Linked DNA regions of Notamacropus eugenii. The protein of the gene in region 3 interacts with the protein of the main gene of each other region in a pairwise test. Links are inferred from orthologs where the notes say so. Each region holds a gene or a part of one and is shown on either strand. Other genes may lie near its edges. The genes, in order: FGF12, RNF14 and DACH1.

Evidence for each region.
Region 1: the proteins of DACH1 (region 3) and FGF12 interact in binary tests that used the Homo sapiens proteins (3 or more experiments, as listed by UniProt). The two-hybrid records come from large-scale screens. The link is inferred for Notamacropus eugenii from reciprocal best matches to the Homo sapiens genes DACH1 and FGF12.
Region 2: the proteins of DACH1 (region 3) and RNF14 interact in binary tests that used the Homo sapiens proteins (3 or more experiments, as listed by UniProt). The two-hybrid records come from large-scale screens. The link is inferred for Notamacropus eugenii from reciprocal best matches to the Homo sapiens genes DACH1 and RNF14.

Annotation. Positions count from the first base shown.
Region 1 is NC_092877.1:384,453,923-384,461,704, forward strand, and holds the start of FGF12 (fibroblast growth factor 12), read right to left. Parts: upstream 3,048-7,782; 5' UTR 447-3,047; coding exon 248-446; intron 1-247. UniProt on the Homo sapiens protein: Involved in nervous system development and function. Involved in the positive regulation of voltage-gated sodium channel activity. Promotes neuronal excitability by elevating the voltage dependence of neuronal sodium channel SCN8A fast inactivation.
Region 2 is NC_092872.1:369,341,768-369,349,678, forward strand, and holds the start of RNF14 (E3 ubiquitin-protein ligase RNF14), read left to right. Parts: upstream 1-4,879; 5' UTR 4,880-4,997; intron 4,998-6,974; exon of another isoform or gene 6,975-7,063; intron 7,064-7,097; exon of another isoform or gene 7,098-7,352; intron 7,353-7,413; exon of another isoform or gene 7,414-7,911. UniProt on the Homo sapiens protein: E3 ubiquitin-protein ligase that plays a key role in the RNF14-RNF25 translation quality control pathway, a pathway that takes place when a ribosome has stalled during translation, and which promotes ubiquitination and degradation of translation factors on stalled ribosomes.
Region 3 is NC_092877.1:266,364,101-266,371,884, reverse strand, and holds the start of DACH1 (dachshund homolog 1), read right to left. Parts: upstream 3,075-7,784; 5' UTR 2,790-3,074; coding exon 1,885-2,789; intron 1-1,884. UniProt on the Homo sapiens protein: Transcription factor that is involved in regulation of organogenesis. Seems to be a regulator of SIX1, SIX6 and probably SIX5.

The DNA.
Region 1 (7,782 bases), about 120 Mb from region 3:
AGGAACTAAGCAAGGAGGGGAAGCAGCTAGTGGAGGGTTTTGGAAAGGAAACCTAGGGCAAGGTGAGGGAAGGAAGCATCCCGGCCCAGGCCTCCGGGGCTCATCCTCATCGCTGGTGCCTGCTGAACCTTAGGTGGGGTGATGAGGGAAGGGGCTCCATGGGAACCCAAGTGGTGAGAAAGAGGAGGTTGCCAGGGGTCGGGGGAGGGAAGGAAGCTCGCCGCGGATCTCAATTGCTGCCACTGACCTGGTCTCCTCCTCACTGGCCTCTTCCGGCCACTGCAGAAACGCACCTTGCTGAACACCCCGAGGACATGCCTCTCGCAAAGGGAGCGCCCATCCTTGCTGGGGCTGGAGCGGCGCTTGGAGGCCGAAACCCGATCGCTGTTCGATTCCCTAGCCTGGCGCTTCTGGCGGATCAGCGAGCTGGCGATGGCCGCAGCCATAGCGGCTCAGCCGTCGGGGCCCCAGCTCCAGCCCCAGAGGGCTCCTGGGTCGGGGGAGGAAGGAGGGCTGGTAGCCTTCCCTCCTAATCCAAGGCAGGTCAGTGAGGACCCCGAAAGTGCCTCGATCAGGCAAAGGCGAGGCAGTGATGAAGAAGCTCTGTGTTGGCTGCGGTAGGGAAAACCCGGCGCCCAGCAGCCGACCAAGTCAGTCTTGATCCGTGGGTAATTAAGAGACCACGAAGGAACTGTTTGTTGGTGGAGACAAAATGAAGGTAAATCCGAGTGTAAACTTCCCGGAGCGCCGCTGCAGAAAGTAAAAGGTAGGTAGTTCTTTCTGCAAGCCGAGGTCACCCCCCACCCGCTCCCACCCCAAGTTGGCCCCGAGGTCTTGGAGCCGTGGGACTCGGCTGTCCAGGTGAGGCTGAACAAGGCGCTCAGCTAGGCTTGCCTGGAGTCGGGCCCGGCTCTGGAGTGTCTGTGCACTGAGGTCCTGTCCCAAATAAGAAGGTGGCTCCGGGCTCGAGTCCTCACACTCCTGCCCTCAGGGTCTTGGCTGCACCCTGACCCCGAAGCAAAGGTGAGGAAGTGAGAGTTCGATGTAAAAACTGTGTACAAAGCGGTGAGTGTGGGGAGGGCACTCGCCCCCCTGCTAACAACAACAAAAGCTAAAAAGTGAGTAAAAGCTAAGGGCCTGTAGAAAAGAAACCACCAAAGCTGAGGAGAAAAAGCCGGGCAGCCACTTAAGTGCTGGTTGGCTGACTCTGCAAGACCAAAGGAGCCATTCAGCCCAGGTCAGCCCGTGCTAACGACATCTCCCACCACTCCCGAACTCGGTGGTACTTGTGTGGACGGCTAGATTTACGTTTTGTTCCAAACGGAAATGAGTGCCTTGCGTCTGGAAGCCAAAGGCTACCTGGAAAGTGGAGGGGACACAAATCGGAGCAAGGTGGAATGGGGCCCCGGTTCTGGTGCTTCACCGGGTTTGGTGTTGCCCTGGCAGCTGTTACCAGCTGTGGGGCGAGCTCCAGGAGCGCCAGAAGCTGTGGGAACGTCAATTCACCAGAGCGGTGTAGTCAAGGGAAAAAGGGAGAGAGAGAGGGGGGAAGAAGGAAGAAAAAGGAGGGGAGGGAGCTTGGGGAGGGAGATCCCCGGGAGCCTAGCGCCCCCGGGAACCGCCCGCCCGCCCCCACGGTGAGGGCAAGAGGCGGGGAGGAGGGGATAGAGAGCCCAGTCTGCAGGAGGGAAATCCCTTTCTGCTCCTGGATTAGACCCGCACAGTGGGAATACCTTCGGGAAATGAGCGTCTGGGAGGCTCAGCGGAGGGTCCCCGATCCCCAGCCCCAGCGGAGTAGCTCAGCCTTGGATTGGGGGGGGGGGTGTCTCTGGGGTGCTGAGCGCGGCCCAGGCCCTCCCTGGGCCGCTTTAGCGGGGCTTCCCTGCCATGAGCCGGCCCAGAAGCAGGAGGGCCCTGGCTCTGGAGAGTCCAAGGGTTCAAGGCATCGCCCCGAGGGCCCTGCTTCGCGCCTACCGGCCTGCCGGCCCACCCGCGGCGCCTACCCTTCGCCCCGGGTTCAGAAAGACGTCCCCGCTTCCACACAGAGAATAATCGGCCCAACCAGGAGACCGATGGATTAGATCCGAGACGCAGGCGGCCGCGGACGCTCAGACAGTTCTGCGGTCCCCATCCCAGCCCTGGGAGAAAGACAACACGCGTCCGGAGCAGCTGAAGCAGGCAGAGGAAAAGGAGGAGGGGGCGGCTGGAGAGGACGCTAGGAGCACCGGCACGCTGCGGGCACACATCATCCTGCCCTTCGGAGGCTGCTGGCCTGAGACGGCGGCTGCCAGGCGAGGCAGCTCCGGGAGCGCACAGAGCCACATCATCGTCCGGCCCACCCGGCCCTTCGCGTCAGCCCAGAGGAGAGCCGAGCCCCGGGAGACTGGCGAGAGCTTGCTCCCCAAGAGGCACCGGCTGCCCAGGAGCTAGTGTGCCCCGCCGTCAGTAAGCGCCCGCAGCCGACACCGCCCCAAGCCCGCCCAGTAGCAGCTGGGTGCTGGCGCGGCTCAGGGCAAGGGGTATTCCCGCGTCGGACGGAGAGGAAGCTCCGGGGGATCCATCGGCGCCCCCGGCTGGGCGCGGGAGGTCAAGTTCAGGGCTGAGCCTAGCTCACAAGGGGCTACGTCGCGAGCGTTTAGTCAGAGGCCGGGAAGGGCTGGTCCGTCGGCCCAACAGACCCCTGGGTGCCCGCTGCAGATCTGGCTCAGATTCGGGCTCAGGCTCGGGCTCCGGTTCCGGCTCAGACTGGGCTTGCAGGCTTCTGTTCACTTTGGCTGGGGCTCGCTCAGGTCTGGAAGAGGAAACTCCAGGCAGAGAAGACACGCTGGGGCAAATGACTGGGAAGGGGGTGGGGAGTGGAGAAAGGGAAAGCCTTCCGAACTTCTGCCTTGCAGCCTGGGAAAAAGAACAGGGGGGCTGGGAGGAGGGCGTTAAAATCCAGCCCTCAACAGCCGCTGGGCAGCGAGCAAGCGTGGGCTGCTGGGCCCATTTTCTTCCTGGGCTCCGGCTGATGGCATTGGTCTTCCTCCTCCCCCTCCCCCAGCCCCAGCGGCTGCCTGTGTTTCCCTCCTTCTCGCCCTCCCTCCCCCTTCTCTTTCTGTGTCTTCTGTCTCTCCTCTTCTCTCTACGCAATCCTACGTGATTGAGGTTTGGATGAGAAATTCTCAGAGGCAGAGCTAGGGAACTGCAGTTCGAGTGTGCTCTGTCCCCTCCTTTACCGAATTGAAGAGAAAATATCTCTTGCCGAAGACCTGCTGAGGAGAAAAGGGCCCTGGGCAGCCACGGAAGGGGTGTGTGAGCTGGGGAGAGGGGCAGGGGAGAGGAGAACAACATGCCCAACTGCAAGATGAAACACCTACTGTGTGCAAAACGTTGATTACACAGAGGAGCGGTGGCTAAAGAGTGTTAGCGAAAGGGAGAGAGAGAAAAAACACAGTAAGGACCCTGGGTAAGTTTGGCTCAGTTAACGATTTCTCTATTTGGGAAGCAGTTGGGCATCAGGGAATGGCCTTCAGACCACCTGCTGGGTTCACCACCTCAAGTCCTTCTCAAAACAGCTAAGTGAAGGCCGCGAGTCAGAGCCTCCTAAGAGTCATTCAAATCCCAGAGGCTTCCCAGAACCTACAGAAGATTCCCTTGACCAAGAGCTGCCAACTAAGGTAAGCCTGGTGTAATGAAAAGAACAATGACTAGAGGCCAGAAAGACAGAGATTCAAATTCTCCTGAGATATCCACTAGGTGTATGATCCTGGGCAAATCCCTTTCTCATCGAAGAAACCATTTCTCTCTCTGCAAAAGAAGTGGATTGAATTGGATCACCTTAAAAGTGCCTTCTATCTTTATGTAAAGCCAAGACCCAGGGTGTCTCTGTTGGGTTTAAAGTATTAACCCCACCCAAGGTCATTTGTGAAAAAGTTTGACACTTTCAGGAAAATAAACCACAATAACTTTAACCACTTAAAGGAGAGTGTCCAATATGAGAGGGCATTCTCTATTTTCTATGCTGGTCAATCTGCATCTGAAGTACTGTGTGTTGTTCTGGGCACCACAATATGGGGAGGATGTTGAGGAGTCCAGATACCCAGAGAAGGCTGACAAAAATGGTGAAAACCAGTTCCAAGATTTATTTGAAGGGCTGTTACATGAAAACGAAATAGATTCTACCCTTTGCTGTTGACATCAGAGAATAGAACCACGAGTCAATCTAGGATTGATTTCTGGGGTTGAAAGGGAGAAAGGGGAATCCTTATACTAAGAGTAAGGTATCAATGGACTAGACTGGGTTTCAATCAGACTAGATTATAACTCATTGATATATAAAGTCTGAGGGTCTCTTGGAATTCTGAGATATCGGCAAAGCATGGGAGAACTCAGCTGCCTTATCACCTGCCCTGACACAGTCATTCTGAAGTCCCTAGAATTGTTCTGTAATTTTCTGAGTATACATTCTGGTTTCTTTTAGAATGAGGATGTGATCCTCTACGTCTCCTGTGTCAAGTGGTGGTCACTTGCCCAGTAAATGCAAACAATAGATCTATCACGTATCTATTCTCCTCACTCTTTACCAAGCAGAGACATGATGCTAAGTGGCATCAGCAACAGAGAATCCAGACTCATTTGCTAAACTGTCGGGAGATATGCTCTGCCAAACAGAGCACGTACACAAGTGATGTGTTCAGTTCTGGGCACTTACATATGAAGGACTTTAACAAGCTTGAACATACATTCAGGAGCCTGACCAGGTCATGTGAGGATCATTACATGAAAGAATGTTTAGCTTTGAGGAGAGCTGGGGGAAAGGAAGGGAACACATAGAGGAGCTTTCTTCAAGCATTTAGAGGCTGCTGTGGAAGGACGGATTAGACTGACTCTGCCCGGATCCAGTGGACAGAACTAGAGTCAAGAGCAGAAGATCAAGAAGAAAGTGGCAGCTCATTACAATATGGCACAGCTTCTTAACATTACAGCAGTGCAGTGAAATGGGGTGCCTCGGGAAGTGCTGAGTTCCTCCATACTAGAGATCTGTAAGAGGATGCTGGATGTGCATTGGAGATAATACTCTTCTTGAGCTATAGGTTGGGGGGAAAGTTTATAGTACTAAAGATTTTAAAATGGAAAGGTTCTTGCAGACAATCAAGGTTGTCTCCTTCAGTTTACAGAAGAGAAAACTGAGGTTTAGGGAGATTAATTGACTTGCCTAGGGTCACACAGTTAGTAAGGATATGAGTCAATATTTGAACTAATGTTTGTTTACCTCCAAACCTAACCCTCTGTCCACCGCACCACTTATCTCCTTCAAAAACTCCATCCAAGTCTGAGATTTTAGAAATACATATATAATACACACACACATATAGACTCTAGATAGTTTCTTTGAGAATAAATCCAAAGGATGATTGGAATGCAAAACTGAATTCAACAACTATTATTCAATAAACATTGATTAAGCAGCCAATGCCATGTGCCAGATTATAGGTGTATTACCCTGGGCAAGTCACTTAACCCTGTTTCCCTCAGTTTCTTCATCTGTAAAATGAGCTGTAGAAGGAAATAGCAAACTACTCCAACATCTTTGCCCAGAAAACCCACAATGAGGCTATAGAGAGTCAGACATGATTTTAAGTGACCAAATAGCCACAGACAACAGCTTCTAGGTGGGGAGTGAGATGACATTTGGACAACAATAAATCAAACCCACTCCCTCAAAGAGATGTCATTCTGGTACAGAACATCAGTCCCCATGCAGAGGCAAGAGTGTGCCTGGGGAAAAGGGTAGATTTGCACCGAAGGAAAGCCAAGAACTTTGCATGTGTGACTGCTTAGGCTAGGAATTGTGTACATACTTGGCTGTCTAGGAAATATGAGCCAGATGAGTCTTGGGCTGGCAGTTGGGGTAAGGGAATTATAGAATCAGTTTGGCAGCTGCTTAGAAGGGATCAAGTTAAGAACAGGGACCTTCGAGGGCAGGTTCATTGCATTCCAGGGTAAACATGGAGGAGAAACCCCCATGGCTCATGGACCATACTCTTGCACCAGCTTCATTTGCTTGAATGAGAAGTGGAATGGTCCACAGTGTTCTGACAATAGTTTTTGTTAAAATATATATTTGCCACAAATGAGACACAATGCATTTCAGTGCATATGAGTGGGGGCTTAAAACCAACTGGTAGCACCATATGGATGTTATCAATTAAAGACTTGTCCAAATTCAGCAAAGAAAGTGATTTTACTTGGCTAATAGAATTCATCCCTGAGTTTGGAGTAACACAAGAACAGACTGGATTGGTGAGGCTCCTGTCTTTGATAAAGCAGAGCCCTCTCTTCCAATTCACAGCTGGCCAACTGAGCAGAAAGACTAGGCAACTTTTATGGGAAAACCAGTGTTAACAGTAGCAAAGGATACTTGGGAGGAATGAACTGAGAAAAGAACTCAGGGAATGACCGTACTTAGCACTATCTATCCCCCTCCGATATAACACTTCTGTGCCAAGTGGAAGCAAAAGGAGACACTTTCTCACAGAATCTGGCTATGACTCTCTGGAGGCGGAGAAGTGCTGAGATTGCTCTCCTTTTGACCAGCTGCCTCAAAATCTGATCAATTTTCCTCTAGCCCCACAATAGACTTATTGTTGTCTTAAGGAATCAAATTCACTTTAAACATTCTTTACTTTTTCATCCTTCATGGAGCTGACTTTATTTTTTCAGTCCTGTGGGGTAATGTTGACCTTGGATCACCAGGTAATCAATGGAACACATCTTAAGGTTTAAAATGGGGAAGGGGAGGGGGGGTCAGATAAAAATTGCTATTTGAGCAGATGTTGAAAATCACTTCTGCATTTTGACAAGCCAAAATCAGTTGGATATGTAAAACAGATAATGTACATGGTTCTGCTGATTACCAAATGCACATAGTTCTACTGATAACAAAACCCTTCACTTTTGACTGAGAAGAGTAGGATTTTCTCGAACTCAAAAATCCCTATTACCAGGATATGTTGCTTCCTGTATGCTATCAGATAAGCTGTTTCATTTAAGAATTTCAGGAGCTGTAGATTTTCAGAGTGGTTTTCTACTGTTAATTATTCATCCTTCTAGATTATTTATCCCATCATTAACTTCCTTCTGAAGCTAAGGAAGATGAGTCAGGTACAAGATGTTGTGAGGAGTTACAGCCTCAGCATCTGTGAGGTCTTAAGAGGTTAGCAGGCTCTGGACAGGTAGAGAGCACATTAGATAGAAGTTAGGGCTAGAGTCAGGAAGACCTGAGTTCAAGTCATACCTTGAACATTTCCTTGCTATCTGACCTGGGTAAATCATCTAAGTTGTGTCTCAGTTTCCTCATCTGTAAAGTGGAATTATAACAGCACTTCCCTCCCAGGGCTGTAAGTATCAAATGAAGTAATACAAATGAAATAAATGCCCGGTACAAAGTAGGAGCTTAATAAATTCCTTCCTCCTAAAAGGCAGAATATCTTTATCACTTTCCCCAAAAGGCTGCCAAGCAATCTTTGCCTGAAGTTCTCCAGGGGTAGCTAGTTTAGTGCCTCGGGAGGAAGACCACTGTGACAGCTGAAATTGTTGAAAAGTGAGCCTCTATGTTGTTGAGTCATTTCAGTAATGTCTGACTCTTTAAGTTCCTGCTTGGGTTTCCTTGGCAAAGATACTGGAGTAGTTTGCCATTTTCTTCTCCACCTCATTTTATAGAGGAAGAAATCAAGGCAGCAAGTGTTGAATGGCTTGCCCAGGATCACACAGCTAGTAAAAGTCTGAGGTCAGATCTGA
Region 2 (7,911 bases), on a different chromosome or scaffold from region 3:
ATCTTCAGGTGCCTTTATCATTGCATTGTTTTTAATTTGAAAGATCCATCCATGAAATCCCTCCATCACATTAGGGGGCTTTTCAGGTTTGAGTTTTTTGTTTTGTTGTGTTTTACTTATTCTTTCTCATTCAGCATCTTCTTACCTGCCTGTTGGATTAACTTTTTTTATGAGAGGAGGGAGAGTTTAAAGTTTAACTCCTACCAAGCCCTGTCCCTTGGGACAAAGAGTAACTTGGACCCTTAGAAGGGAAACAATATTGAGAAATACTTTAATCCTGCACTTGGGGTAGCAGGGTGGAGAGAGACTCAGGACATTCAAGAAACATTTCCTCTTCATCACAGGGAGGGTTCCTTGTATCACACTTATGCCCTTGTATCACACTTGTCTCCACCTTGATTTCACTTACATTCTAGAATGTGCCCAAATGTCCTAGAATGTTTCATCTGGTATCTATCTATCTATCTATCTATCTATCTATCTATCTATCTATCTATCTATCTATCTATCTATCTATCTGTCTGTCTATCTATCTATCATCTATCTATCCATATATATCAACATAATCCCTTGAGGCTTTTATTATATTGCAACATTCCTTTGACTTTTTCATCAAATTCATAGTTAAAAAATTATAATTGCATGGTTTTGAGGAAACACTTTGTAAACCTCAAAGCACTATAAAAATGTAAGTTGTTATCATTGTTATATCCTCCATTACTGAAATCCTACCTACTCTGGTGCTTTGTCATAGCATAGAGATAACCCTGAGTTCTTAGATGCCATGTCAACAATATGGCCTCTACTGTGGGTGTAACAGGAGACTGTATTGTCTATTATTCAAGGACCAGCCTAGATAAATTTGGAGGCTCATCAGTGGGTTGGCTACCCCAGGTAAGGAAGACCATCTACTATGGTCTAGTAGAAAGATTACCTTCTGTGTTGACTGACTACTCTGATGACCCCACAGATCTTTGAAGCAATACATGTGTCTATAAGTACATATATATGTATATATATATATACATACACATACATATACATACACACCTATATATAATATATAATACAATACACACCTATAAATAATCATTAATAATGGAACAATTAAAATAAGAGAAAAGACATAGTTGTTTTTACTAGTTATATATATATATATATACATACACATACATATACATACACACCTATATATAATATATAATACAATATATACAATACACACCTATAAATAATCATTAATAATGGAACAATTAAAATAAGAGAAAAGACATAGTTGTTTTTACTAGTTATATATATATATATACATACACATACATATACATACATACCTATATATAATATATAATACAATATATACAATACACACCTATAAATAATCATTAATAATGGAACAATTAAAATAAGAGAAAAGACATAGTTGTTTTTACTAGTTATATATATATATATACATACACATACATATACATACATACCTATATATAATATATAATACAATATATACAATACACACCTATAAATAATCATTAATAATGGAACAATTAAAATAAGAGAAAAGACATAGTTGTTTTTACTAGTTATATATATATATATATATATATATATATATATATATATATATATATATATAGGTGTGTATGTATATGTACCTGAAGTTTAGATTATATTGCAATGTTTTTATCTTTGTCCAGATTACATTAATAATTGATTACAACATTCCTAAAACCAGTTTGGAACTGCCCAGTTGGACTGATCTTGATATGACTTTGATATGCTACAATAACCACTTGGATTTGGGGGTGGGGGAAGGTCTAGTGTCTCTTGAAGAGATTGCCTCTACTCTAGATATGCTTCCTCCCTCTTCAGGGCATGCCTGAATTTCTTGCCTTTTTCTGGAAACATAAATGCCTCATACTTATACAATAGGTACTTTCCCCAGGTCAATCCCTGGTATCTCCCTGCTTATGTCATCAGAGGTGGGAAGCCAATCAGATGAGCTCAGATGAGAGCTGCTCCCTTTCTTCCCCTTCCCCATCCCCCCAATATCCAGAGACTTTACTGTTAAGTCGCCCTAATGGAGAGTTATTTTTGAGTGATTCTTTGCAGTTGGAGGAAACAGGGCCTTGGCTATCTCCCACACTGACTAGAAGTGAAAGAAGACATATTTGACGAAGTTAGCTCAAAGAGCAATTTTGTCCATTATTTCCTCCCACCCACCACCAAATTTCCTCCTCTTGCTCTGGAGGAGGAATGTCACACCTGAGGTCTGGCACCTTCCCTGCTTATACCCTTTCCTTGTTGTCCCTGTCCTCCATGTTCCCCTCCCTGAGGTATCTCACTTTAGATTTCTGCCCTTCTCTTGTGTGAGGTGAGATGTACTATAATAAAAATCTCTTGTGCTACACATCACTGGCTTACTTCCTGATTCTTTTTTGCAAGACTTTCTCTAAGTCTCTGGGGCCATAAAAGCTTCTTTGCTTCAAACTAAGCAGAGAAAGAGAACTCTGAGCCTGATTCTGGGCCTTCAGCATTGCCTGCTTTTAAGAACAAGTCCTTTGACTGAGACCTAGTGGTCAGACTGGGACTGAGCTGGAGACAGTTAACATTCAAGTATCTAGAAAGCAAATGAATGTTACGGCAAAAGATTCTTCTCAAGAAAGCTTCTAACATTTCCTGTCTGTCTTATGAATCTAAAGGTTATCTGAAGATGAGGTGAAAAATAATCATTAATAATGGAACAATTAAAATAAGAGAGAAAAGACAGTTGCTTTTACTAGTTGTATATATACAGCTTTAGGACCAACAATTCATCCTTCGGGCTGAAGAGAGATATAGACAATCCTTTTAATTTCCATTATTATCAAGCTCTCTGTACGCTTTTTCCAATACCCTCAGCAGTTTTTTTTCCTAGATCTAGTGTTAAAATGAGCTTTACAATGACAGTAAGAGAATCTTTCAGACTTGATGATCCTCTGAAGTTTCTCTTCAGCAGCTTCAGTTGGAAATCTCCTGAAATGGTGTAACCTAGAGTTATTCTCTGTACCCACATATCACCCCCAAACTGGGTCTCTGGTTTTAGAGTCCAATGTGAAGGGAGAATTCCTATACTTTATTTTCTGAGACTTCATTTCTTAATGTACTTTGCTTCCAGAGTTCAAAACAAACTTACAAGTATGTCTACACATACATACACGTACATATATATGCATATACATATATAGACACACACACACACACACACACACACACAGGTATATCACAGCCCAATTTAGACAATTCAACATCAACATCTACCGATTAGCTCCAAAAGGTATGCATGAAAAAGCATGTCCCTGACCCTCAAAGAACTTACATTGTAACAGAGAAAGACAATATCTATAACCAGGGTGTTTAGTGGGTCCATGCAGCAACAGTGATTGATGGCAAGAAGATGGCCTGGTCAAGTGGCATGGTTTAATCTGGGCTGGCTCTCACTAATCAGGACAGCGTGGCTACAAGATCCAGAGTTCCAAAGCTTGAGGAGCTTAGCTCCTCTAGGACCTCATCTTTGGAGGTTGTAACAAATGACAAGACAGGTAGCAAGATAGCTAATGGTCTGATCTGGGAATGGTCAGTGAGACTGTAACCTAAAACTCACTGTATCTCATAATCTAGAGCGTCTCCAAGTCAGCTAACCTCACTTCCTATTGTGTAGACTCAAAATGAGAATGGAAAAAGCTGGCATAGCTTATCAGTGATCTCTATCAGTTAAAGTCCCTTATCTAAAACCTTGATCTTAGTCTTATATTTCTCTAATCAATTGATCAAACTCACTCTCAGAGAAGACCAAGTTTACACACTACCTATTAGGTACCAGCAATACTGAGAAGCAGGATAATGTAGTGGAAAAATCACTGGACTTGGAATAAGAAAAGGACCTGAGTTTTGTAGCTGTCCAATGTATTCATCATATAAATATGATCACTATTGTGGCTACCTGTGTGTGTGTTCTTCCTTCATTGCTGAAGATCATGCCATCAGAGAAATGGTGACATGATTTGCACTTGACTTTGTTCTGAGTGAGGGAGGGCTGTGCAGGTCACCAGCCTCACTTCTCCTCCAGAGCCACCTGAATCCAGTGACCAGATATTCATCAGGATGACTGGAGATGACTCAGGATGAGGCAATTGGGGTTAAGTGACTTGCCCAAGGTCACACAGCTAGTGAGTGTCAAGTGTCTGAGGTAAGATTTGAACTCAGGTCCTTCTTCTGCATTGGCGCTCTATCTACCGCACCCCCTAGCTGCTCCAATTCATTTAGTACTCTGAGGTTTAAAAAAGTCCCATCTATCTACTCAACACCACTGTGAAGTAGGTCCTGGAAAGCATTATTCCCATTTCATAGATGAGGAAACTGATACTCCGAGTGTTTAAGTGACTTGGTCAGCCTCAAGAGCCACACATTTGAATGCTACTAAACTAACAAACCAAAAGGCAGGATTCAAATCGGGAACTTGCATCTTAGATGTGCTACCTTCCCAATCTGGGCCAAAGAACAGGTCATGAAAAGGCAGGGAGTATATTGCCCTTGAAATCTCATTATTCTTCAAGTAATCAGATTCTGGCTGATTCAAACACTTCCCTAAATTACATCCTGAATTCAGCTCTGGACCATAAAAACTTCTGTAACCATACTCTCAAAAACAATTTAGAACCTAAATAGGAACACGGCCACTTTCAATGCTTATCATTACTAACTAACTATCTTGACAACACAATTCCAACTCAGGGGCCATCATCTTCAACTATCTCCATTCACTGTCTGTGACATCACATGGTGTCACAATTAAACCTATGACTGCCTGTCTTAGATAAATCCTTATGGGTTATCCTATAGACTCATACTGGATCATGTAATCTCACATACATGCATTTGGTAATGAAGGGTACAAGGAAACATACCAATGACACAAGGATTGCTGTGTAATAATAAAGCTCTACTGGCCTGTGATGGAGAAGGTATGAGCTCTTTCATGGGGCCCAGACACTTTCCTTTAGGCTGAATTATTTACTAATAGCAGCTGGCTGAGTATTTCATTTGGTTTCTATTCTGAGGTAGGGAGGAGGCAAAGATTTTTTTCTCCTTTTTGCCTACACTGATTGTTAGTGAAAACGACATTAGTGAATTTGGTCAAAGGAATGTCATTCATCTGGACTGATTTTTCAAGGTTTTTGTTTCCATTGTAGAGCTATATTTCAATTACAGGCAAGGCTTTAATCAAACATGATCTATGAAAATTCAGATTTATAAAATGCAAATGGGGGAGGGATAATTGTTTGCTTTATAAAAAGGCTGATGCTTAGACTCTGCTTTAGTCAGACCAGTCTTGAACCTTCTTCCAGTTCTTCCCCCCAGGCCTACACTATTCTTTCTCTTTAACTCCTTTTGTACTTATTTTACGTACTGCACCATGTGGCACTTTTATGATATCTATAATATAATCTATAATGCATACTGCCTTAGTCACTCAACCCTAGCTGGATGGAATAAGAATTCTCAGCTCCAACGTCCTTCTTTCCCACCCCCTGTATTTTACAATTAGAACTGAAGACAGACTATGAGGGCATGCACATGTGAAGTGTTGCTTAGAATACTGCTTCACTATGACTGCTGGCTTGTAACCCTGAGAGTCTTCAATTCATTCCTCTTTTAGTATCCACTACAGTGGATAGTACTAGACCTGACTTGCATTTTAATACAGTAGAGAGTGCTGGACTTGGACTTGGGGTCAGGAATCTTTGGGCTTGAATACTCTGAATAACGTGTCAACTAACCTCACTATTGTCTAGACCCAGTCCAGGATCCTTACTGTCTAGGATCGGTCACTGGGTCCCTCTGAACCTCAGTTTTCTCATCTATAAAATGGGCATAGGTATTACCAGAGTTGTTATGAAGTACCTAACACGTACTTGGCTTAAAGCTCTACATAAACATCAGCTACTGTTATTATGCCCCAAAAATGTAAGGAGATAAATGGGAATTCCTCGCTACAACCTCGGTCAGGAGAACAATGTCTGGTGAACTTGCAGAGACGTGGAAATCCAGGAAAGAAGAAAGGTGTGAGCTCTGCATCCCTCAGTGGTCTCACTTCCATTTAACAACCATTTGGTTGCGCTCCTACCATAAAAGGATGGCCTTTTACAGTGGGAAGGGTTCTTATGTGCCTTCCACAGGTTTCTCAACCCGAACCACATTCTGTTTTTAACATCAAGACTGTGCCGGGATCGCTTGAGCCCTTGCCCTTCCGACCTCGGGCAGCCCAGTCTAGTCCGCAGGACGTTGGCCAAGAGCGGGAGAGGAGGGAGAAGGGTCGGTTTTTCGGTGCACAGGCTAGGGAGTGTGGATGACCTCTTTGCGAGGTCCGGCTCCATGAACCGGGCCAAGGTGAAGTGATTGGGTCACTGCCAACCAGGGACGGCGGGGACCAAACCAGAGAAGCAGCCGGTGGAGGCGTCTCTGGACTTCATTTCCTAATTTGCAAACGTGGGACGATCTCCGAGGTTCTCCAAGATCTCAGAGCAAATGAGGGGGAAGCAGACAGACAGGAGAGAACTGGGGCGCTTCCTGGGGGCACCTCTGGAAGTAGTCTAGCAGAAAGTGCCCAGGAATGAATGAACGTACGCTCTATTGTGATTTGGGGCAAGCCACCGAGCCTCAGCCCCCGAAGGAGCAAGGGCTTGTGTGCCTCGAGAACCACCTGGGGCTTGTTTGTTCACACACCCACTTGTAAAGCCCGAGGCCCAGTGGTGCTGGGATGCCCCCGGGTTCCATCTCCACGTCCTCCTCTTCCTCCTCCTCCTGCCCTTTCTCTCCGGCTTCCCCGCTTCCGGCCGTTCCGGCTCTCACCACCTCCACCCTGCAGGGGGCGCAGCTCCCGGAGCGTCAGCGTCTGCGCCGCGCCTTCCCTCCCGCCGTCGGCCCCGCCCTCCCCACCCCACCCTGGCCCGCCCCGCCCCATCCCATCTCATCCCATCCCATTCCGTTCGGTTGCTCTGTGGTTAGAGGAAACTGCCTGCCGGGCCAGGTGAGGTGGACGGCAGGGAGCGGAAGTCGCCGCCGACCTCCACGCCGACCTCCTCCTCGGGGGTGGGGGCCGAGCTGAAAGGCGGCGGCGGCGGCGGTTGCGGCGGCGGAGGCGGCTCAGCAGGCCGTAGCGACCCTTGCGGCGACGGCCCTTCAGTCACCCGGTGCCGAGGCGCTGGCCGCGCGGGCTGACCGGTCGGGAGGAGGGGGGAGGGGAGAGCGGGGCGGAACCTTTGGGGCCGAGCTCGGGCTGCCACCGGAAGGTGAGGGTGCTGGCCTCCAGGCGCCCGGTATGGAGAGGAGGGGAGACGAGGCGAGGCGGGGCCGGGCGGTTGGAGGGCCGCCCGCGGAGGATGCGGGGAGGGTTGTTAGTGCGGGTTCTGAAACTCCCCCGAAACACCTTCAAACAGCCCCTCTTGCCTGCCCGAATCCATCCCCGGAACGTGGGGAGACGACGGAACCGAGGCGCCCCGTGGGAAAGGGCGGGGCGGACGGCCGCCCCCTCCCCGTCCCCGTCCCCGTCCCCATTCGCAGACTGGCCCCTTTTTCTAGAAGGAAGGGAGCCCCTACCCCAGTAAAGTCAGGGGTGCCGGGGAGAGAACACCGAACCTGGAGGCAGGAAGGCTCGGGCTTAGACACTCAGTAGCTGTGTGACCCTCTGCCTGCCTCAGTTTCCTCATCTGTAAAACGAGGATAACAGCACCTCCTGCTCTGAGTTGGGAGGATAGAGTGAGGCAACACTTGCCAATGTTACCGTTATGAAAAGATGGGGGCGGAAAGAGGAAAAATTAGTAATTACTTTCCTCATTCGGTGGCTGGCCTAAAGAGAATAATTTGCCTTTTTATAGG
Region 3 (7,784 bases):
ATCCTCTCCCCACCACAAGGTTCTCATCTTCTGAGTTTTATCACTACCCTCAAGGTAGCCAGCTAAGATGCAAGTCTGACAGTCTGTGAGTCCGGTTCTCATTCCTTCGGACAACAGGGGAGCTCTTCCTTTCTGGTTACTTCCTAAAATAACTCTTACCTTCACGCCCAGCCCAGCCTATCGTCCTAATCAGCTACATGTGCAGATAGAGCCCTCTCTGTTCTGGTCTTCACGTTTATTTCAATAGCATTTGATTTTTCTAGGGCAGTTATGCACGTTATTCCCTCCCTCTCGTCTGCCCTTGTCATCTCTAAACGAAACTCTTAACTTTCACTACACCCTTCCTATTTTGTTCTATTTGTTCTAGGTTTTGACTTTTGCTCCATCGTTCCTATGGGACAAAAGATGAGCTGCAGTGCCAGAGAGGTTGTGTGTGTGTGTGTGTGTGTGTGTGTGTGTGTGTGTGTGTGTGTGTGTGTGTGTGTGTGTGTTGGCAAAAGGTTTGAGGAACGATCCAGGATCCTACAATCTCCAGATCCCTAAAAGCTGCCCCTCTCCCGCCCCCTCCCGGTACAATCCTGCCCCTCCGAGCACGCAGACGTACAGTGAAACAGCTCTGGAACTGGACCCGTGGCTAATACAGCCAAGGCACTCCTCGGTTCCCAGGCAGCTACTGGGAACTCGACTGCACCTTCGAGCCCAACTCCCGCACTTGCTTCTTCACTGAGCCACCGACCTCAGAAAGAGCAGGGACCTGGCATCTTTCTCCTCTCCCCAAGTCAGTTAAGCCTCGGTATCTGGAACTCCACCCCACCAGAAGAGAACCAGCCTGCTGAGTCTCTTTTGCCCCATGGCAACAGCCTTACTTTCCTTCCACTTTCCTTCCTTTCTGGCAATCACTTGCACACACGCGCGCGCACACACACACACACACACACACACGCACACACACTCCAGAATATGAATCGTATCTCTTTCCTCCCTCCCCTTTATATGCTGTAGCTAAATTTACCCTGGAGAAATGGGACACTGATAGTTCAATTACTGGGTCAATTCTCAGACGCCAAAACAGTGTGCCCCTAGACTTTGAAGTGTTATCCCGGGACCATATTTCCTTAGCTTCACCACGGGGAGGGAGACTACTCCCCGCATTCTCATCCCTTACTCCGAAACCCATCTTTCCAGCACCCCATCCCCACCCCCAGCCCATTTGCTTGGCTGGGAAAACCTGATGCCTCGAGTTGGATTCCGCATCTTCCCCTTTCACAACCTCCCCCAACCTCATCTTAATCACCCGTTGGAAACACGCTCCGCAACAAACAAAAATCACACTTCAGTGAGACTCGCACTCCGGAGTGCCTGACTTTGGGGAGCCTCACTCCACGCGGTGGGAGGGCAGAGGTGAGACAAGGTAGGTGTTCTCAGGTTTTAGCAAACTGGAAGAGGAATGAGTTTCCCCGCAAGATTCAATGTTCTCCACGCTTCCAGCCCAGCCCCTTCCTCTCAATTCTCCCCTTTCTCCCAAGTCCCTCAACACTCAAAGCACTCACTGCCCCCCCCCCCCGCCCACTCTCCCCTGCACACAGAGTTTAACATTTTACTGGTGAGTAGAGAGAGGGCATGGGACCGGCAAGAGAGGGGAAAAGGAAAAGGGAGAAAGTAAGCGCAGGATAGAGAGAATGGGTTTTCCAACTTCTCAGGACAGACTGGATGAGGTTCAGTTTGGTCAGGCTTGTCAACAATACCACTGAAAGGAAAGAGAGACTCGGTGAGTGCCGAGGTTCGGTGGGGCTGGTGAGGCTGCAGGACTGAAAGACGAGAAAGAGGGGGGCGGAGGCGGGTGGTTAAGAGGGAGCTGGGTGCTAAGGGATTACCCCCCTTTACCTTGCGTTGGTGCAGTCATTGTAGAGGGTCTCGAAATCCTTCCTGGAGATGAGCTTGCAGCGGTTCACCCCGGGCTGGATAGCCCCTAGTCCCCTCAGGATGCGAACCTGTTCCACATTGCACACCACCGGCGTGATCTCCAGCCGCTTCAGCTTGGTGTAGACCGTGTGCAAGCCCCCGACCAAGTGCTTTAGGAACAGGTCAAAAGCTTGGGGCAGGCAGATGAGCTCGCAGCCCTCCACCGTGAAGGAAGCCACTTTGGCCCCCCTCAGATCCACCATTTTGCACTCATTATTCTGGGGGGTGTTCTCCACTGGGGAAGGGGTCGAATACACTGGTTTCCCCGGGAGGTTGCCGCAGCTGCTGCTGCTGCTGCTACTGCTGCTACTGCTGCTGCTGCTGCTGCTGCTACTGCTGCTACTGCTGCTGCTGCTGCTGCTGCCGCAGCTGGCGGTGCTCACGTTGAGGCTGGGGTTGGAGGTGCCTCCGCCGCCGCCGCCGCCGCCGCCGCCGCTACCGCTGCTGCTGGTGCTGCTGGCGGTGACCAGGCTGGGGTTGCAGCTGCCGCCGCCGCCGCCGCCGCCGCCGCCGCCTCCGTTGCTGCTGGTGCAGCCGCCGCCGCCGCCGCCGCCGCTGCCTCCGCCGCCGCCGCCGCTGGTGGAGGTGACCGTGGCCGCCGCCGCCGCCGCTGCCGCCGCCGCCGCTGCCGCTGCCGCCGCCGCCGCGATGGGCTCAGGTCGAAAGAGGGTTGGCCCTGAAGACGCCGGGGGACCGATGGAGGGACCCGGAGAGGAGGTCGCCGAGGACGTGGAGGTGGTGGTGCAGGAGGAGGAGGCAGAAGTGGAGATCGGAGGTTGCGGGGGGACCAGCTGGGTCGGAGGGATCAAAGCAGCCGGCACGGCCATGGTGACATATAAGAGGAGAAGAAGGAGATTGGGGGGTGGAAAAAGTTGCCACACACCAGGGGGAGGGGAAGGAAAGGGGGAGAACGAACGAGAGAAAGCAAAATCCCCAGAAAGATAAAGAGGGGGAAAGAGAGAGAAGAATGAAAAAAAGAAAAGAGAAGAGAAAGGAATGGGAGAATGAAGGGCAGAGGGGGTAAGAACGAGAAGCAGGAGAGACACGCACAAAAGTGTCCCGCAAGTCCAAATGAGTAGTCCTCTCCAGGGGCTGGGATTGGGGGCTGAATTTTTTTAGGGGGGAGGGAGGGAGGGGGGGAGGGTTGGCTATTGTTTTTTTGGGTCCTGCTCTAGCACAAAGTTAAAGATGAAGGTGAAAAGGAGGAGGTTTGAAGGACTTCGGTTCTCTCTGGCAAGTACATTGATCAAAGATTGAGAGGGGAATGACAGAGAGAAAATGAGCTGAAAAGTGCTGGCTGCTCTCTGGACGAGTTGTTGTTGTCACACGGTGCAGAGGGGAGGAGCTCCGGAAACTTGAAATACCCTTTGAAGCCTCAAAAACCTCACTCACTAGTATTAACCCAAATTATCCAACCAGGAACCCGGAGCAGAGAAACACAGACTGAGCGAGAGATACTGAGAAAGAGAACGAGAGAGTACGAGAAAGAGAGGGAGGGAGGAGAAAAAGGGTGAGGAGAGAGATTGTGGGTGGGGAGGGAGGTGAAGAGAGAGCGACATAGACGGCGGGGAGATGGGGGGGGGCGAGGAATGGGAGGGGGACGAAAAAGGAAAGGGAGATCATCTTTTCTTTTAATACTACCGTTAGATTACATGTTTCATATTTCATCTCATCCGCGACGACATGTAATTTTCCAAACGCATCTAAGCAATCTCCTGTCAACTTAAAGACGAACAAAAGCACTTTGAACAGTTTCTTATAGGAATTAGGACGTATTAAAATGATTTTGAAGAAAATCAGGTATAAATGGAAGATCTACATACACTTTCTCCTTCCATACATCTTTATGAAGGTTTGCATTTGCTTTTAGTTTACTTTAGGGAAAGTTCCTATGCAAACCTAAACGTATGATTTTAATTCATTCGTTTGTTTGGTCACTTGTTTGTGAGTACGTTTTTTTGTGTTTTTTTTTGAGCTGGGCTAGTAAATACAGATCATAGACTGAAAGTTGGAAGAAATCAGACATCTAAATTGCTAACATAATAATAGCAGATGTTCTTTTTATCTGCTCTGTATTTCAGTAGATTGTAGGGGGAAAAGAAAAATGAAAAGATATTCTCGATGTGGATTTTACACAGGTTAGCTATGTTTCCTTGCCAGTCAGAAATAGATGTAAGATCCTCTGACTTCAAAAAGGAAAGGCTAGCTAAATATAAAGCAGGTACACACTTATGTACTTTATGGATCTCAAACTGTGAGAAATTCAAGTGAATACCAGCAACAACAACAACAAAATGTTACTCTGTTTAAAAAAGACAAAAGACTTTCTGGTATGTTATGATAAAAGATCTCTTTTAACTTACAGTTTTCGAAATTAACTCATTCTATGGGAATATCCTTTCTGTCTAAATTTTAAGAAATTACACTCAACACACACACGTGCACACACACACGCGCGCACACACACACACACACGCACACACACACACACACACACACACACACACACACACACACACACACACACACACACACACCCCTAAATAGCAGACCTGAAAAAACAAAGTGGAGATATATAAAAATTAACTGGTAGAATTATTCTCAATCACCTTTTTAATTCATCTTATTCTTACATTCAGCTAACCTGTTGCATTTAAGTATTTAAAGGGTCTCTGACCAACAGGTGATTTAAAATAGCATAAGTCACAATGTAATCCTCTGTCTATATCTCTGTGGATCTTGAATAATTAGGCTTTCTCTACACATGCGCAGTATCTAATTCTGCAAGGTGTGAAATGATGCATTACACATTTGACAGAAATTATAGTTTTGTATATATTTTGAAAGCTGTAAGTCCATGTTGTTGAATTATACACTGAAAATTCTATGTCTTATTAGTTAAAATATTATTTTTCTTATTATTGAAAATTTGTTGTTTGTTGTTGTTTGAGGGAATACAAAAAGCATTGAAAAACATAGCTATGTCAAAAATCTACTCACATCTATCCTAAAAAAAAGGTACCTTATTTCGCCAGAATTTTCTTATTGGTCCACATCATGGAAGGAAAGCATATACAACACTTTCTAGGATATCTTAAATCTGTAGACAACTGTTTGTCCTGCCTGGTATCAAACGTCAGCTATCTTTTTAAAAAAGTTGAAATTCTTTTGGTCATCAAAGGTGTCTTCATCTAATAAATTCTTGTACCAATGTGAGGATGTATATGTACATATATGCACTTAAAAATATCAAAAACAGTAAGTACATGTTTATTTTAAAACATATTTAATGCAGATTTCATATTCAACAGGGGGAGAAAAGTTACAAACCCTTGTAAAACTGATTTTATATTGGAAATGCAAACACAACTTTAATTATAATGGCACAGCTTGATGTCACCATAAAAACTTCAGCTACTTTGAAAAATGTTAGACCACAGTTCTATCATTTTGAATTCTCTACCCATAAATGAGAACAATGCAAAACAAGTGTTGAAAAGCTGCCCTTACCCCCTCTGGTTTCCCACATTAACTCAGAGTACCATGCATACACAACCATGCCACATTCCTGTAACATACAAGCGAGGCAACGATTGCAACTAGAGCATGACCCTCAATTATGTCACCATTTTACCTTAACTTCTAAGAGGACCCATGATGTTGGGGGGAAGCTGTGCCCCACAACACGTGCTTACTTTATATAGTAGGGTATTATGGAGTCTGTCCCTTCTGAAAGAGTTCTGAGACAGAAAATCTTCAGGTTTTCAGTCAGTTGAAAGAAAACCATAGTTTGAAAAGGTTCATCATTGTGTAGCATTTGTTTGATCAGACGATAGCATTAGGAACTAAGCATAATGAAAATAAAAATATATTTATGGAAGGGTGCAAAAATCTTCAGAGTGCCTTGCTTGAGAAATGTTAGGAACAATTAAGTGAGCTTGAATTGTCCTTAGCAGAAGTATCAATCTAAGAAGGACTTGAATTTATCCCTTTATCCCTCTCACTTATAGCTTTTCAAGGTATTTTTGGTTGGTTGTTTGTTTTACATCTCAGGTCATTTCAAACACTCTTCCCCCATCGTCTCTTCCTCTAAGCTCAAAGTATAGTCACTGATATTTGAAAATTTTCCCTGTGTCAAGTGAAGACTTATTCTGCTGAAATCAATAAGACTGTTTAAAATTCAAAGACCTGCAAATTGTTCTGTTTGTCCTTTGATAGGGCCTGTGCTGATTAAAATGCTACCAAGAAAGCTTAATTGCTGCACTAATTAAGAAGTCTTTAATTTCTTTCCTAGGATATTGTTTGAAGCTGAGCTTCTCTTGCACTCTTGTAACTGTTCAGGGCAGGTATTCTCTTTCCTCCCACTATCCTTCCTCCTCCCTTTCTCCTCCTACCCTACCCCACCTTCCCCAGGGACCATTTCTGGGTGAATGAGAACCTACACCAACAGTAAGCTAGCTGATAGGTCTTGTAGTTTTATTACTTAACAAACAAACAAACAACACACACACCCGCGCACACACACACACACACACACACACACACACACACACACACTACTAGAGATCATTGCTTTATGAAATCCAGTGAGGAGACTTGCTATAATGTTGAAAGATATAGTCAGAAAGTGTACGGTACAATGTTGCTCCTCAAGTCTGAGCGAATATCTCCTGAACGACAGACTCCAGGCACTCTAGCCCTGTGCAGGGCACAGCCTTTTGGTTTCCAAAGGGCAACGACAAAGCACAAGGTCTACAGAGAAAAGAAAACATAACAGCACGCAACATATGATAGCAAAGAGTGCCATGGAGATAGTAAGACATTCTTTGAATTGATACTCATGTTCATATTTAAGTTTTAAAACATGAATTCCATCTGGATTTATTTTGCCTTTTTCCCTTTAGAGAAATACATCAGTATATTATTATATTTCATTCTTTCTTTACCTATTGACCTATACTATTCCCTGATTTCTCAAGTGGGGAAACTGACTAAATCATTTCATAAAACTTTCTCTGAGATGAGTACTCATTTTTAAAGTTTATTCATGTTTAATTGTAATTTTGATAAATGACTGAAAAGCAGAATATTGTAAGAAAGATACACATTTTGAAAATACTAGGGTAAATAATTTCATTTCATTCTCAGGTTTTAATAGACATCTAATACACACACACACACACACACACACACACACGTGTGTGTAAATATATCCACTGGAACTTCTTGTAAATCTGAGGGAGAAACATCTGAAATTGTACCTTTCCTAGAGCACAAAAGAAAATCAAATGATTGTGTAACAAAGTCAATGTGTATCAAGATCATATTTCTTGAACATCTGAATATTTCTTGAAAACACTTAGATCCACTGTTGATAACATTATTAAGTGAAACTGATATAGTTCAGGGGTCAGATGACTGACACTAGACGCTCAAATTGCAAGAAAGGATATATGACTATCATTCTTTTCTCTGTCTTTCTCCCACCTCAGTTGTATTTGAGTCAAGCCAGCACACAGAAATACACAACACAAATACAAACTGAATTCCTTTCAGTGACAGGACAAGATAACATGCTTAATAGATACAAAGGGAGATTTACCATTCCAAGCACGACGTCACTCTAATTATGTTTACCCTAATTGAAAGCAAGGTTTTTGGAATTTGAAATTACTTACAAGATTTTTTTTTTAAATAATGCAAGTGGATCAAATGTTGATCGCAAACATTTCAGTCTTTCGAAATCTATTGGAAAATTAAATGAAAAGTGGAATTTGGTACAAAGAGTGCCCCAGGGCAAAAAAGAACTAACACTCGATTTT